2 linked regions of the Oryctolagus cuniculus genome follow. The protein of the gene in region 1 purifies or fractionates together with the protein of each later gene. This does not show direct contact. Links are inferred from orthologs where the notes say so. Each region holds a gene or a part of one and is shown on either strand. Other genes may lie near its edges. The genes, in order: TJP1 and OCLN.

Region 1 (7,550 bases):
ATTTTTAATAACTGCAAAAGAAATTCAGTCACACCTAATGATTAACAGAAAGTAGTGGTGTATTATCTGAACAGAAGTCGTGCTGATGTGCCATAATAAATTGTCTATTAGTAAAAAAATACACTTTAGGGCACAGCATTGTATCACAAATTACAATAAGGATACTTTGCAAGAATTTAATCAAACTAGAGAACTCTGAATAACTGTCTTTTAAATGCAGCACTTAAAAATGTAACAACTCTGTGCATTCTTTTTCTTTAAAAAATGACCTTGTGTGTGTCATAGAAATGCTGCTTTATTGCTGCAGAGGTCGAAGTTCAAGGCTCGAGAGGTACAGGAGAGAATATAAAGGTAGCCTTTAGAAACCTGCTCTTGTTTATGTATAAAAAAGGTAAAGTTTATAAAAGTTAATTTACAAACCAAGAACAAAAGTGGTATGCACGCATTATGTACAAGCATCCTTAAAACATCAAAGTGTTCAAATGCAAGCCCAAAAGAAAACAACCACTGCCCCCTGGCAAAAAAAAAAAAAAAAAAAAAAAAAAAAAAAAAAAAAAAAAAAAAAGGAAAATTCCCTAAATCACACCATTATTTTCTTCTGGGTGATTTATACATTTCTGAAACCACCAACTCCACATTGATCCAATCTTGTTCATGATACAGTATCTAGATGTGCACAAAAGCCATAAGAACTTAGTAATACACAGCGAAACTGATCTAAGAATTAAAAACATGAGGGTAAGGCATTCCTGCTGGTCAGTACATCGGTGGTGATATGGTGAATCTCTAGATCCAAAGAGGCCACGGAGCCAGTCTCACATGCTTTGGTGTCCTTCCCTAAGAGAGGTGTGTAATTGTCTTCACCTGAAACCCTCCCCACCCAAAGTCACAAATTCCCCTTGCTGTACACTTCTGTTAAATCCACTATACTGGTTATATATTCCAGGTGCGTTTAAAAAACAAGTGCATATTACTTCATGCATAATAAAATAAAATATGTGTGTTAGGCCAGAGCCATAATAAAGTTTGAAACAATGTACTTTGGAAATAACAGAACTAAATGCACCCCCATTAGTGGCTGGTATTTTAACGGAAATCAGTATGTGAAGTGAAGCAGTGACCATAAAAACAAGTACAAAATCATTACAGAGCAAAGTATCTTTGAACCTCCAGCCAATAGCAAGAGTTCTTCAGTGGCAGACATGCAGTTTGCGGCATGTGTTCTGCTCATGGTTCAGGGGCATGCGCACAGTCTTGACCAGTCCAAACAAATGTTTAATATGAACAAACTGTAGTATCAATTCTAAGAAAAATAGAATACTTGATAGAGTGGTTCCATTTTAGACTTGGTAAATTTAACCCAGCTTCACATTATTTAATCAAGTTCCTGTAGCTTCAGAATTAAAAGTGGTCAATCAAGACAGACACACAGTTTGCTCCCACAAGGTAATTTGGATCTCCAGGAAGACACTTGTTTTGCCAGGTTTTAGGATCACCTAGGAGAGAAAAAGAAGCTGACGTCATTTAGTTGCCTAAATTGCTATGCATGATGCTTGCAACTAAGGGACAAAATGCAAGTAGATACGTATTTAAATACGCTTTTCCCTTGTCACTTCAACACACTGTACTTACAGCAAAACTCTCGGTGCTGCCCTTCAATGCAGATTTGCTGGCATCTGTGATTCAAAACGTTCAACAGTCTTCTCAAAAATGAGTTAAAGGACAACCATGTGCCTGAGGTAGTCTCAGCTTGTCCCTAAGTTCCAATGATGAACAACATCTTTCTTCCACTTTCACATAACAACCGATCACCCATTTGAGCTGAGTACATGAGCACATCACTCACACTCAGCTACAGACCAACAAACCAACCCTGAAAGTTCCACAGAATCTCGTTCCTAAAGACCTTCTTACTCCTTAAAAAAACAGGACAAACAGGAAAGCCAAAGGGAAAACCCCAAACAAGCCGACCAGGAAAACTGTGCCGTAGTAGCTCAGCTGTGACTCTGGTTCAAAACCATTCACAGAGCTTCCAGAACTGCCCATGCAGGTCCGAGGCAGGTCTGGGGCAGGTCTGGGGCATGTGAGTGCTGAACAAGCTCCTGGGGATTTCACATTTGTAACCAGAGCTAAGCACCCCCGGGAGTGGGTACTAAATGAGAGAGTGCTGGGATGACTAAATGTCTCTTTGGGATCTAGGTGCATGGACAGTCAGAACTGTTGACCTTCGGTTCCTCTGCAGCAGTAGTCTCAGCTAGGAGTGATTCTGTCCCCAAGGAGCCATATCTAGGGATTTTTTTTTTTTTTTTTTTGGTTACAACTTGCACCTAGTGGGTAGAGGCCAGGGAAACAGCTAAACATCCCAAATACAAAAGACAGTCCCTACAACAAAAGATTATTTGGCCACAATGTCAACAGTGCCACTTGGTGCACTCTTGCCTACATCAGCCAGCTACATACTTACTGCCTAAGTATTATCTGAAGTCAATAGCATTTCATGATGGGATGAACAGTTAAAAATGATGGGATGAACAGTTAAAAAGTGATTCAATTTCTTCGATATACGAATATAAAGGCTATGTTACACCATAGAGAACAAACTGTTCAGGCAATGAGATACACTTAATGGCACCACTTTTAAAGGAAATAAAATAGGTATCTCATCTTTAGGCTCCAGTTTCTTCACAAGAGACTAGTTTTTGTTGGAGTCATCAAAATCTACACTGACTTTTTGAACAGAAATTTATAGTAGCAATGCAATCTATAGTCACACAGTATTACATCAATAACACTTATTTTCTGGGTGAATATACTCGAATTTAACAAAAAAAATCTAACCAAAACATTTTATGTTATGGCATAAAACAATGGAAGTAGCAAATGTGCAAATCACTTATACTTCAGATAGGACCACTGACAAAGCAGGCTAACTACCAAGGTGGTTGTTCAAGATATCTGCCCTCATCTGGTGTGGAGGGCAGTCAGAGCCTGACTTTTGACTTCTGGAATATAACCTTTAAATGCAGTTTTATTAATATTCCTCCACTAACTGAACCTACACTAAAGAATATTTCTCTGGGGAGTCCCTGAGAAAATTTATGTTTATATATATATATATATCATTTTTTTCTGTTGGATAACAATAAAATACCTCTACTACAAACTTTAGACCATAACCTTTTACTTCATATTGTACCAAACTAAAACCAAGCAACGCACTCAACAATGCCCAACTGATTCACCAAAAATTTAGAAGCAGAATTTTAAATTCTTATTTTTCTATCTGGTTCTCATAAAGTTTTCTGTACCAAAAATAAAGTTCCAATGGGTAACTGACATAAGTTACTGAAGGAAACAAGAAATATCAAAATGCAATGGAAGCACTGATATTATGATCTTAAGAGCAAGAAGTAATTTTAAAATGACATATAGTAGAAGTTTAATGTAGAGTTTTACATTGAAAAATTATGGCCAAGTCTGATCCCAATGGAAGATCTTTTGTCATTGGAGTTTTTCTGGTATATATACTTTGCAGATTAGGAAATTAAAGAATGGTAACCAGAACTAGAATTAACTACATAAAACGACTGCATACATAGCACAGTTCACAGCTCTCCCACTGTGTCCTGAAACCTCTCACAGAACAAATCATTTTGGTGACCACCACGGAATAGTCAACTTTCAACCAAATTATTTCTTCAAAAGGCAGACACTTTACTCTGCCTTTGCAGACCTGTTGACAGCACATGTACCATAAATCAACCAGTGATGCCTACAAGGCCACAGGAACAGAGGTGGAGATTCGCTAACAAACAGCACAGGCAACATCACCAGCCTAGGATTAATCAACGACAGTATCCAAAGCCCCAAAGGACAGAGTGAAGACAGCATACCCGACGAGGAGTCGGATGATTTTAGAGCAAAAGACCAACCGTCAGGAGTCATGGACGCACAGTGTGGCAAGCGCAGCTCCACGGGCTTCAGGAACTTGAGGCCATGGGGCCCGCACATCACTAAGGGGCTTAGCAAGGTTTCACCTGGAGTGAGGGAAGAGGAGAGTGCACAGGTTAGATGCCAGTCTTCCTTCCACACTCGGTTCTTCCCACCCCCTCCAAATTACACACTTTGAAACCAAGTAGGGTTAGTTCTCTACAGCACTTCTGACCAAGGAAATTGTAATAGAAATCATGAATATAATTAAAATTTTTCCAGGAGCCACAACAAAGTAAAAAGAGACAAGTGTCATCAATTTTAGTATTTGCTCAACTCAGTATAACCAACACTATTATTTCAACTTTTAATCAATACTAGCTTTGAAATCAGTGTATATTTACATTTCTAGCAGATTTTAATTCAAAACAGTGCTAAATAGCCACAAGCTAACGCATGCAGTCATATGAGTCCTATGAGTCTGTAGCAGAAAACACTGATGTGCACTTTTCACAAACGTTACTACTTGTACCTTCCATTTTAACTACTTTTCTATTTTACAGGAAGGGTGAGAGCAAGAAAGAGTGTTCTCACTTGCTGGTTTACTCTTCAAATGTCACAATGACCAGGGCTGGGCCAAGGCCAAAGCCAAGAGCCAAGAACTAATCCAGATCTCCCACATGTATGAGTGGTGGGTCCTCCACTGCTGGGCCCTCACTGCTGTCTCCCAGCGTCTCCTCAGCTGAACCAGGAGTCAGAGCTGGGAAGTGAACCCTGGTGCTCTGATGTGGGACGCAGGCACCTTAACCAATGTCTTGACTACTAGGCTAAACACACATTTTAACATTTTGCTACAAACATGGTTTAAGGGGTTCATACAAGGATAACACAGTCAGTCCTATTGTTTTTTTTTTTTTTTAAACAAATTACCCTAGAATGCGATCATAGAATCAGATGTTAGGAAAGAGAGCTAATGCAACGTAGTGAAACACTGCTGAGAGACTGAGAGATGTGAAGAAGCTCTTCAGCAGTTCAGCAAGGCAGCAGCAGCCTGACAGGCCAGGGAAGGCAGGAAACTGACAGCATTCCCGTGCTGCTTCGGCAGCACAGAAACATGCAGTCCCACCCTCAGGATGTTTCATTCACTCAGCAGAGCGTTCACTAGCGTGAGGCTCAGGAGTGATGAGGAAGACAGCACCTGCCCCAGAGGCTTACCTTCTACGTGTACAGTCAGCCAGCAGGCAGAGTGGGTGTCACCTAACCCATCCACACATATGGAGGGTGTGACCTGATACAGCCAAGACTGCCTGGCAGTCATGTGTGAGGGATGCCGGATGGGCTATCACCTGCCAGCACCTCTGCTTTCATACTGAAAGCACAGTATCCTGCGGAAGGTCCCCATGGTGCTACTCTCTGTGAGCACGTACTGTGTGCCCGCACGGATGGACGGCACAGGCTCTGGCTGGCCCGACGTGCAGGCAGAAGAGAGGCTGCTGTGGTCTCCCTTCGTTGAGCACCGTAAGTTCTCAAGTGCACAGAAGGCAATTCTTACATTATTAAAACTAAGCAGAAACAGAAACATTTATGCAACTGGAAACCACTATGCATAAGCCAGTCCCCAAAAGTCAAATTGATCATGTTTTCTGATATGTGGCAGTTAGTATAAAATATTAAAAAAAGTAAAGGAATGAAACAGACATCTTGTGATAAGACTCTTGTTTTTAGCCCTCGTTTATACTCCTGTGGAACTACAGTCCTCCTAATTTTCACTCCTTGAATATCATGGTTGGTGGTGAATTAAGCCTGTGATTACAGAGCTGATTGAAAGCATGTTTTTGCAAAAATTAAAGACAAAAAACGAAGGAAGGAAGGAAGGAAGGAAGGAAGGAAGGAAGGAAGGAAGGAAGGAAGGAAGGAAGGAAGGAGGGAGGGAGGGAGGGAGGGAGGGAGGGAGGGAGGGAGGATGGTTATCTTCTTAGAACTGTACCTATGAGATACATGAGATCTATTCCCTTTACATTAATAAGAATCAACAAAAGCAGCATCTACCTTTCTCTTTATCCAAAGGTGGGAGGATGCTGTTGTCCCGGCAGACCTTGAAATAGATTTCCTGCTCAATTCCTTCGGGAATGGCTCCTTGCGGGATAATTATACTGACGCCGGTCTCTATGGAGCTCAAAACCCCACCATTGCTGTTAAATATGCCTCGGGCTGTGGCCACCACAGTGTGCCCATCCTCGTCTTCATCTTCTTCCACAGCGGATGGGCTGAGAGTGAGAAACGGCTAATGAGTACACTCCCAACGCCATGCAGGCAGTTTCTGTTAGGACCACTGCAGGAGGTGGCTTCCCTTTGTTCCTCTATATAACCAGTATGCTTCTTACATTAATAAGCAATTAGTGATGATTTCCCTCAGTTATAGATACCTGTGTTTACATAACTATAAGAATGTATTCTTATCCACTGTATTTTTGAAGGTAACTAGACAAGTCACATTCATTACTGATTTTGCAATCTAAATGTAAAAATTTGACACTGTGTTCACCCAACTACTAATAACATTTAAAAAAAAATATTTACTTGAAAGGCAGAGTGACAGAAAGAGGAAGAGGCAGGGAGACCCACCACCCACTGGTTCACTCTGCAAATGTCCACAGCAGCCAAGGCTCGGCCAGGGCAAAGCCAGGAACTCTATCTGGATCTCCCACATGGGTGGCAGGGATCCAGGGACCTGGGCCATCCTCTGCTGCCTTTCCAGAAACATCAGCAGCAAAATGGATCCAAAGTGCAGTAGCTGGGACTTGAACTGGCACTCCAACATGGGATGGGGCTGTGCCACTATGCAGCTTAACCCACGGCGTCACAATGTCCACCCCAAGCAACACATTTTAACATCCATGAAATTGGTGTTTTATAGCTGAGGGTAAGCCGCATTTTAATTGGTAGCATTCTTTTCCCTTTCTAACGATACATAAAATAACCGTGCATCTTACAATGGAAAGCACCTTAAAATCTGCTGGGATTCTACGCGGGCACATTACGGCTCCTTCCTCCACACTCCCTGACTGACAAACACCCCTGTTGTGAAAAGCATGGCCTCCAAGGTTCTACGAGGTGAGACTTTGGTATGAATACATCGCATACACCCACAAAACAGACACTAGCTTACCTCGGACAAGAGAACACCAAGGGCAAAGGAATCTGCTTTAAAAATGGAGGCTATCGGGACTTACCGAAGTCACGTTCTGAGCCAGGACTTAAATGTAAGATGACACACGGATCAACAACAAAGTATGTGAAGGTTAACTGAAGCTTCACTCCGGCGAGACGGCCTCCTGCGGCGCAGGCACGCGGCAGCAGAGTCCACGGCCTGGGGCAGCAGCACCATGCAGCCCCTGGCCTGAACCTCATGCACACCCAGAGAGGAGGGCAGCCAATGGACACAACCGTCTCCTCGGGGGAAGCAGACTGCCAATGGCCTCCCTGGGCCTTGGTTCTGCCTCCAAGGGCTTCTGCCCCGAGGCTGGCTTGACAGTTTAGCTGGATTTAGGAGGCTGAGAGATTAGGTGCAGCAGAATGGGCCTGGCGAGCCTCTGTGCAATGGGAAGAGTACTGGAGGC
Region 2 (7,787 bases), on another chromosome or scaffold:
TTATCTTCAAAGGTGAATTGATGTGGGTAGTGTACAATTAATAGTATGAGGAGATAAGCTCCCACAGTCAGTGTTGGGTGGGACTGGAAGAACCTGTGGAGAAGAATCGCGATCCTTATCTTCCCGACAGCCTTTTGTGGAGGAGTCCCCAACCCGTCAGGTCAGCAGCTCCTGCAGATCAGCCTCAACTTCCTAAAATGGAATCTGGCATCCGTTCTTCTTGGAAGCTTTCATAGAAGCTCCTTTTAAATCGGAGCCCGATGGATCCATTCCTCAGGTGTCCTGGAGGATTCCGCACACAGGAAGCGAGGTGTCACCCCCTGGAGTGCACGCACCTGCCTGGAGCCGTCTCCTGGTGCCATCTGCAGCTGCAGGGCACTGGCAGGGGACATGGGGTGCCCCGAGCTCACTGAGCCAAGACTCCCCTGCTTTTCTTAGGGTACCCGAGGTGGTTCATGAGCTTCCGCTGACGTCATCCATGGACGACTTCAGGCAGCCTCGTTTGAGCAGCAGCAGTAACTTTGAGACACCTTCCAAAAGGCCTCCCGCCAAGGGAAGAGCAGGCAGGCCCAGGAGATCAGAGCAAGACCACTACGAGACGGACTACACGACCGGCGGCGAGTCGTGCGACGAGCTGGAGGAGGACTGGATCAGGTACGGGGCGGCCGCCCCCGACGTGGCGTCCCCTGAAGCTGGGGGCACGGCCCATTCCCTTCTTTTTTTTCTTTGCCCTATGGAACTGGAGACTTTATTTCCCCCCAGATGTTTTATTGTTGTTTTTCACCTAGTGTGCTTTTGTAATAGATTGAAGTGGCAGGGATGTGTTTGGCTGTGCCCATGTCTTCAGTCTCAGCTGCTCCCCAAAAACAGCTCATGGACATCCCCGGCACTTCTGTCTTCACCACCGCTCACCCCAAGAAGCTCCTAAAACAGAGGAGCTTCGTTTTGCTGGGTATAAAATTCCCAGCTTCCCTCTGGCCATGACTTTTAAGTTAAGCTTTGGTGACAAGACCAGAGTTTCTTTTAAGATTTCATCTAAGGAATCCTAAGAAACATTTCTTTAAACAACTGAAGTAGCGGTTCCTTCACTTCCTCTCTGTCAGGGGTTTGCCACCATCAGTGCACTCTGAGGCCGGCGACACAGCGCTGGAGGGAGACTCAGGCTGTTTCTCAAGGCCGTGGGGAGGGTCAGGGGTGGGGGCTGTGGGGAGGGTTGGGGGTGGGGGCCGTGGGGAGGGTCGGGGGTGGGGGGCGTGGGGGACTTGAGATGCTGTGGGGGCTGATGCTTCTGGGCCCACATCTCTCCTTGCCCCCTGCCGTCTTGGGCTGACACAGCCATCAGGTCTAAAATATTTGCCCAGGTTGTATCCAGCAAATGTAACCGAAAAGTCTCCGGAATGTTGAGTTCTTGTTTCTCTCTTAATCAGATCATTTGCGTTCTCTCCCCTGTAAAGGGAGATACTGGACTGTTAGACCCAGCGTTAGAAAGGCACCGCTTCTGTGTGTGACTCACACAGTCACACACACACAGCAGGTGCGGTAGCAGGAGCAGCGTCCTCTGCACAGGAGGGGCCGCTCGGACGCGGTTTTCTCGTTCATGGAAAACTTAGGCAGCAGCCGTGAGTGGATTTCTCAGTATTTCCACACCAAGTAAACTTTGAAATTCCTTCGTCTCCTGAACCGCTGCAAGTCCTCTCAGAGGCTGATAGAAGTGAGAGAGTGTTTTCCTTTATGCGCCTGTGAATTACCAGATGCTTTTTACAGCAAGCACACGTTTTTATATATGTACATTTTTAAGGTCTACTTTTTTTTAAAAAATTTTTTTTGACAGGCAGAGTTAGACCGTGAGAGAGTTATAGACCATGACAGAGAGACAGAGAGAAAGAAAGGTCTTCCTTCCGTTGGTTCACTCCCTAATGGCCGCCACGGCCAGCGCTGTGCCAATCCGAAGCCAGGAGCCAGGTGCTTCTCCTGGTCTCCCATGGGGTGCAGGGCCCAAGCACTTGGGCCATCCTCCACTGCACTCCCGGGCCACAGCAGAGAGCTGGCCTGGAAGAGGGGCAACTGGGACAGAATATGGCGCCCCGACCGGGACTAGAACCCGGTGTGTCAGCGCCGCAGGCGGAGGATTAGCCAAGTGAGCCATGGTGCCGGCCAAAATCTACTTTTATAATGAAAGGACCAAACAAACTTTTTCCAATTAGGAAAAACAACACCTAAAATTAAACAGCCTGAAAACGGCCTGTGATGGCGGGAAGCAGCCCTCGCGGGCGGCTGTGCTGCCAGGTGACGGTCCACACAGGCTTTGGGTTCCACAGTTCCAGCTCAGGGACTTGAAACCCAAGTATCCCATTAGCGTGTGGTATTGTGGACGGAGAATAAGAGTGCCTGTGTCTTTAGCCTTGAATCCTTTTTTTAAATTTTTTTTAATTTTTATTTATTTTTAATTTTTTGACAGGCAGAGTGGACAGTGAGAGAGAGGGACAGAGAGAAAGGTCTTCCTTTGCCGTTGGTTCACCCTCCAATGGCCGCTGTGGCTGGCGCACGGCACTGATCCGAAGCCAGGAGCCAGGTGCTTCTCCTGGTCTCCCATGGGGTGCAGGGCCCAAGCACTTGGGCCATCCTCCACTGCCTTCGCGGGCCACAGCAGAGAGCTGGCCTGGAAGAGGGGCAACCGGGACAGAATCCGGTGCCTTGACCGGGACTAGAACCCGGTGTGCCGGCACCGCAAGGCAGAGGATTAACCTAGTGAGCCGTGGCGCCGGCCTACCTTGAATCCTAAAAATTATGTAGGGGTGAGCAGTAATACATAAAATGAGACTGTGAGTATAAATTAGTTGTATCCCACCTCCACCTCTCTGTTAGAACTGAAAGGAAAAGAAAAGAATGTCATTTCCCTCTGCCGCCAGCTTTCTTACCTTAGAGCAAGCAGTGCGGGGTCTTCGTCTGCCAGGGAGCTTCGTCTGTCTTTGCATGTGGTCATTTCCCCTCTCGTCTCTTAGGGAGTATCCGCCCATCACATCAGATCAGCAAAGACAACTCTACAAGCGGAATTTTGACACTGGCCTGCAGGAATACAAGAGCTTGCAAGCAGAGCTCGACGAGGTCAATAAAGAGCTTTCCCGTCTCGATAAGGAACTGGATGACTACAGAGAAGAAAGTGAAGAGTACATGGTAAATTCAGGCTCCGCACTTGCCTGGTAGATGTGGTAGACTTTGTACTATTGCTCACACGTATTTGCTTGAAATATGGATTGAAATTCAGGCTTCGATGATAGTCTTTTTTTTTTTTTTTTTAAGATTTATTTAATTATTTGAAAGTCAGAGTTACGCAGAGAGAGAGAGAAGAAGGGAGGGAGGGAGGAGAGAGAGGGAGAGGTGTCTTCCATCCTCTGGTTCACTCCCCAGCTGGCTGCCATGGCCAGAGCTGTGCTGATCCAAAGCCAGGAGCCAGGAGCTTCTTCCAGGTCTCCCACACAGGTGCAGGGACCCAAGGACCTGGGCCACCCTCTACTGCTTTCCCAGGACATAGCAGAGAGGTGGGTCAGAAGAGGAGTAGCTGGGACTTGAACCAGCACCCATATGGGATCCCAATCCTGGCGACATAAGCCACGGGTTTACCAGCTACACCACAATGCCGACCCTGTTTTTCTTTTTCAGAAAAAAATATTTTGTGGCACTGCTTTTTTCCTGATCTTTCCCTCAGCAGTGGTTTATGGTAATCATTTCGTATCAAAATAAAGATTGACTTTCAAATCGTTTTACATGTAGGAGCAGGTGTTTGGCCTGGAGACGCTGCTAGGGACATGCACGTCCCTGTTCTTGGTTCCAGCCTCTAACACAGGCCCTGGGAGGTAGTGGTGATGGCTCAATAGTTGGGTCCCAGCCACCCGTATGGGAGACCAGGATTGAGTTCCCAGACTGCCCTGACAGTTGTGGGCATTTGAAAAAGAAACCAGTGAATGGAGATCTCTCTCTTTCTGCCTGCCAAATAAATAAATAAGAATTTAAAAAAATTTATATGTAAAAATAGCTATACTATTTTGATATTTTATGGTTGTGCCATAGTTTACTTAAGTGTCATCCTCTATGAACAGATTTTTTTAAAGATTTATTTATTTGAAAGGCAGAGTTATGGAGACAGAGGGAGAGAGAAATCGAGATATCTTCCATCCACTGGTTCCCTCCCCATATGGCTACAATGGTCCAAGCTGGGCCTTCAAAACCCAGGAGCCAGGAACTTTAACTGGGTCTGTCATGTGGGTGCAAGGTCCCCGGGACTTGAGCCATCCTCCGCTGCTTTCCCAGGCACATTAGCAGGGAGCTGGATTGGAAGTGGAGCAGCCGGGAATTGAACTTGGATTCTTTTTTTTTTTTTTTTTCAATATTTATTTATTTATTTGAAAGGCAGAGTTACAGAAAGGCTGAGGCGGAAGCAGAGAGAAGTCTTCCATCCACTGATTCACTCCCCAAATGGCTGCAACGGCAAGAGCTGAGCTGATCTGAAGCCAAGAGCCAGGAGCTTCTTCCAGGTCTCCCACGCAGGTGCAGGGGCCCAGGCACACTTGGGCCATCTTCCACTGCTTTCCCAGGCCATTAGCAGAGAGCTGGATCAGAAGTGGAGCAGTCAGGACTCTACCTGCGCCCATATGGGATGCTGGCACTGCAGGCAGCAGCTTTACCCACTACGCTACAGCACCAGCCCCTCGAACTTGGATTCTAAGAGAGAATCTGACATGTGAGCAACTTAGCATGATCAATGCTACAGTCACATTACATGTGAAAACCCCTGTAACTAACTACCCAGAGAAACAATAAAGTCTGCCGAAGGGGCCGGTGCTATGGCACAGCGGGTTAAAGCCCTGGCCTGAAGCACCGGCATCCCATATGGGCTTCAGTTCTAGTCCTGGCTGCTCCTCTTCTGATCCAGCTCTCTGCTACGGCCTGGGAAAACACTAGATGGCCCAATTCCTTGGGCCCCTCCCACCGTGGGAGACCGGGAAGATGCTCCTGGCTCCTGGCTTCGGATCGGCACAGCTCCGGCTGTTGTGGCCATCCGGGAAGTGAACCAACGGATGGAAGACCTCTCTCTTTGTGTCTCTACCTCTCTCTGTAACTCTGTATTTCAAATAAATAAAATAAAATCTAAAAAAAAAAAATTGGGAATTAAAAAATAAATAAATAAAGTCTGCCGAAGGCCTGCAGAGTTGAGGGGAGGGTTCAGTCAGACGTGGCTGTCAGGAGTTCTCTGGGGGCAGGTGTTTGGCACGGCAGTTATGGTGCTGCTTGGGAAGCCCACGTCCATATCAGAGTGCCTGGGCTTGAGTCCTGGCTCTGTTTTCCCTTCCAGCTTCCTGCCAGTGCCCACTCTGGGAGGCAGCAGGTGCTGGCCCAAGTAGGTGGGTCTCTATCCCTCCATGAGAGCTCTGGATGGAATTCCTGGCCCCTGGCTTAGGCCTGATGCAGCCCCAGCCATCGCAGGCCTTTTGGGGAGTGAACTAGCAGACAGAAAGAGTTGTCTCTGTCTCATGTTTCTTGTCTTTGAAATAAATAAATAAAAATTAAAATAAAAAGAATTACTCAAGCTGAAAGCTGGGAGAAGATGCAGAATTTCAGCTAAAAAGAAAACTGGGTAGAAATCGTGACCCCTTGCTTCACCGGGTTTTCTAAGGGAACGACTAGTGGTGGGCACTGAGCCCAGGCAGGGAGGAAGCTGGGTGAGCACGGAAGTTAGTGGGGTGCCCAGGCCAGTTTCCTCATGAGCTGAAACTGAAGCAGAGCTGTGCCTGACAGAAGACCACTGTGGTAGGGGTTGGCACTGTGGCAGAGCAGGTAAAGCTGCGTTCTGCAGTGCTGTCATCCCATGTGGGTGCCAGTTTGAGTCCCGGCTGCTCCACTTCTGATCCAGCTCTCTGCTATAGGCTAGGAAAGCAGTAGAAGATGGCCCAAGTGCCTGGTTCCCTGCAGTTGCTTGGGAGACCTGGAAGAAGCTCCTGGGTCCTGGCTCCAGATTGGCACAGCTCTGGCCATTGCAACCATCTGGGGAGTGATCCAGCAGATAGAAGTCTGTCTGTCTGTCTGTCTCTCTCTCTCTGCCTCTCTGTAACTCTGCCTTTCAAATAAAATAAGTAAATTTTTTTTTTAAAAAAGGACTTCATGATTTTTTATAAAGATTTATTTATTTATATGAAAGGTTACAGAGAAGCAAATTCAGAAAGAAAAAAGTCTGCCAGCGCTGCGGCTCACTAGGCTAATCCTACGCCTTGCGGCGCCGGCACACCAGGTTCTAGTCCTGGTCGGGCGCCCGATTCTGTCCAGGTTGTCCCTCTTCCAGGCCAGCTCTCTGCTGTGGCCCAGGAGTGCAGTGGAGGATGGCCCAAGTACTTGGGCCCTGCACCCCATGGGAGACCAGGAGAAGCACCTGCCTGGCTCCTGCCATCGGATCAGCACAGCGCGTCGGCCGCAGTGGCCATTGGAGGGTGAACCAACGGCAAAGTAAGACCTTTCTCTCTATCTCTCTCTCTCACTGTCCACTCTGCCTGTCAAAAAAATAAATAAAAATAAAAATAAATTAAAAAAAAGAAAGAAAGAAAAAAGTCTTCCGTGCGTTGGTTCACTCCCCAAATGGCTGCCAGAGCGGGAGCTGGGCCGTTCTGAAGCCAGGAGCCAGGAGCTTCTTCCGGTCTCCCACGCGGGTGCAGGGCCCGAGCACTTGGGCCATCTTCTACTGCCTTCCCAGGCCACAGCAGAGAGCTGGCCTGGCAGTGGAGCAGCCGGGACTCGAGCCTGCACCCACGTGGGATGCTGGGGCTGCCGGCAGGGCTTTACCTGCTGTGTCACAGCGCTGGCTTCGTGATTTTCATTCTCTTTGTTTTTGCCACAAACTCCATTTTTAGCTCTAAAAGATAACTCCCGGAATGTGATTCTTGAAGGAGAAAATGCCTTACTGAATGTGTTCGTTTGTGTTTCTCGTTAATAGGCGGCTGCTGACGAGTACAACCGACTGAAGCAGGTGAAAGGCGTAAGTGCCCTGGGGGCGGAGATTCTGAGGGGCACCTGGCGGGGCTGTTCCCAGCGGCCTTTGACAGGACTGGGAAGGACTTATCCTGCATGCCCCAGTGGCAGACAAAGGCCCTGTACACTGAGACAAAGTTGCAAACTCGACCTCAGTTCTCTGCAGCTTTTGCAGCCAATACTGATTTCTTTGACACTTCTTCAGAAAGCCTAAGTGTCCACATAGAGAAGTGTGCAAACCCAGGTAAAATGCCCAGCTTGATAAGTGTGCGTGAAGGGACCGTGCACGGTGTTCCCAGCACCCACATGAGGAATTGCGTCTCCCAGGGCCTCTGGCAGCTTCCCACCTGCGGCTCCCTCCCCGCCCTCACACACTCCCCAGAGGCTAGCCGCCACCCTGAATTCTGACATCACAGGCTAGTCTTGCCTGTCTTGAACTTGGTTTTAGTGGAGTCATGCAGTGTGTATTTTGTTTGTGGTTTCTTTCGCTGAGTTTTGTGTTTGTAAGATCCATGCATGTTTTGGCATGCAGTTGTGGTTCATTTACTGCTGTATATTGAGGAATAAGACACAACACATTCATCCATTCTGTGGGCAACTAAAATTAGGTTGTTCCAAAATTTGCTTTTTTTTTTTTTAAAGATTTATTTATTTATTTGAAAGAGCTACAGAGAGAGGCCTAGACAGAGATCCTCTGTCTGTTAGTTTACTTCCCAAATGGCCACCGTGGCTGGAGCTGGGCTGGTCCAGAGACAGGAGCCAGGAGCTTCTTC

Evidence for each region.
Region 2: the proteins of TJP1 (region 1) and OCLN purify together in Homo sapiens (affinity purification with western blotting; 4 studies listed by BioGRID and IntAct, with this or other methods). This does not show direct contact. The link is inferred for Oryctolagus cuniculus from reciprocal best matches to the Homo sapiens genes TJP1 and OCLN.

The regions. Positions count from the first base shown.
Region 1 is NC_091443.1:11,172,973-11,180,522, reverse strand, and holds part of TJP1 (tight junction protein ZO-1), read right to left. Parts: intron 6,198-7,550; coding exon 5,980-6,197; intron 4,038-5,979; coding exon 3,894-4,037; intron 1,497-3,893; coding exon 1,402-1,496; 3' UTR 1-1,401. UniProt on the Homo sapiens protein: TJP1, TJP2, and TJP3 are closely related scaffolding proteins that link tight junction (TJ) transmembrane proteins such as claudins, junctional adhesion molecules, and occludin to the actin cytoskeleton.
Region 2 is NC_091445.1:90,487,974-90,495,760, forward strand, and holds part of OCLN (occludin), read left to right. Parts: intron 1-438; coding exon 439-654; intron 655-3,002; coding exon 3,003-3,174; intron 3,175-6,979; coding exon 6,980-7,021; intron 7,022-7,787. UniProt on the Homo sapiens protein: May play a role in the formation and regulation of the tight junction (TJ) paracellular permeability barrier.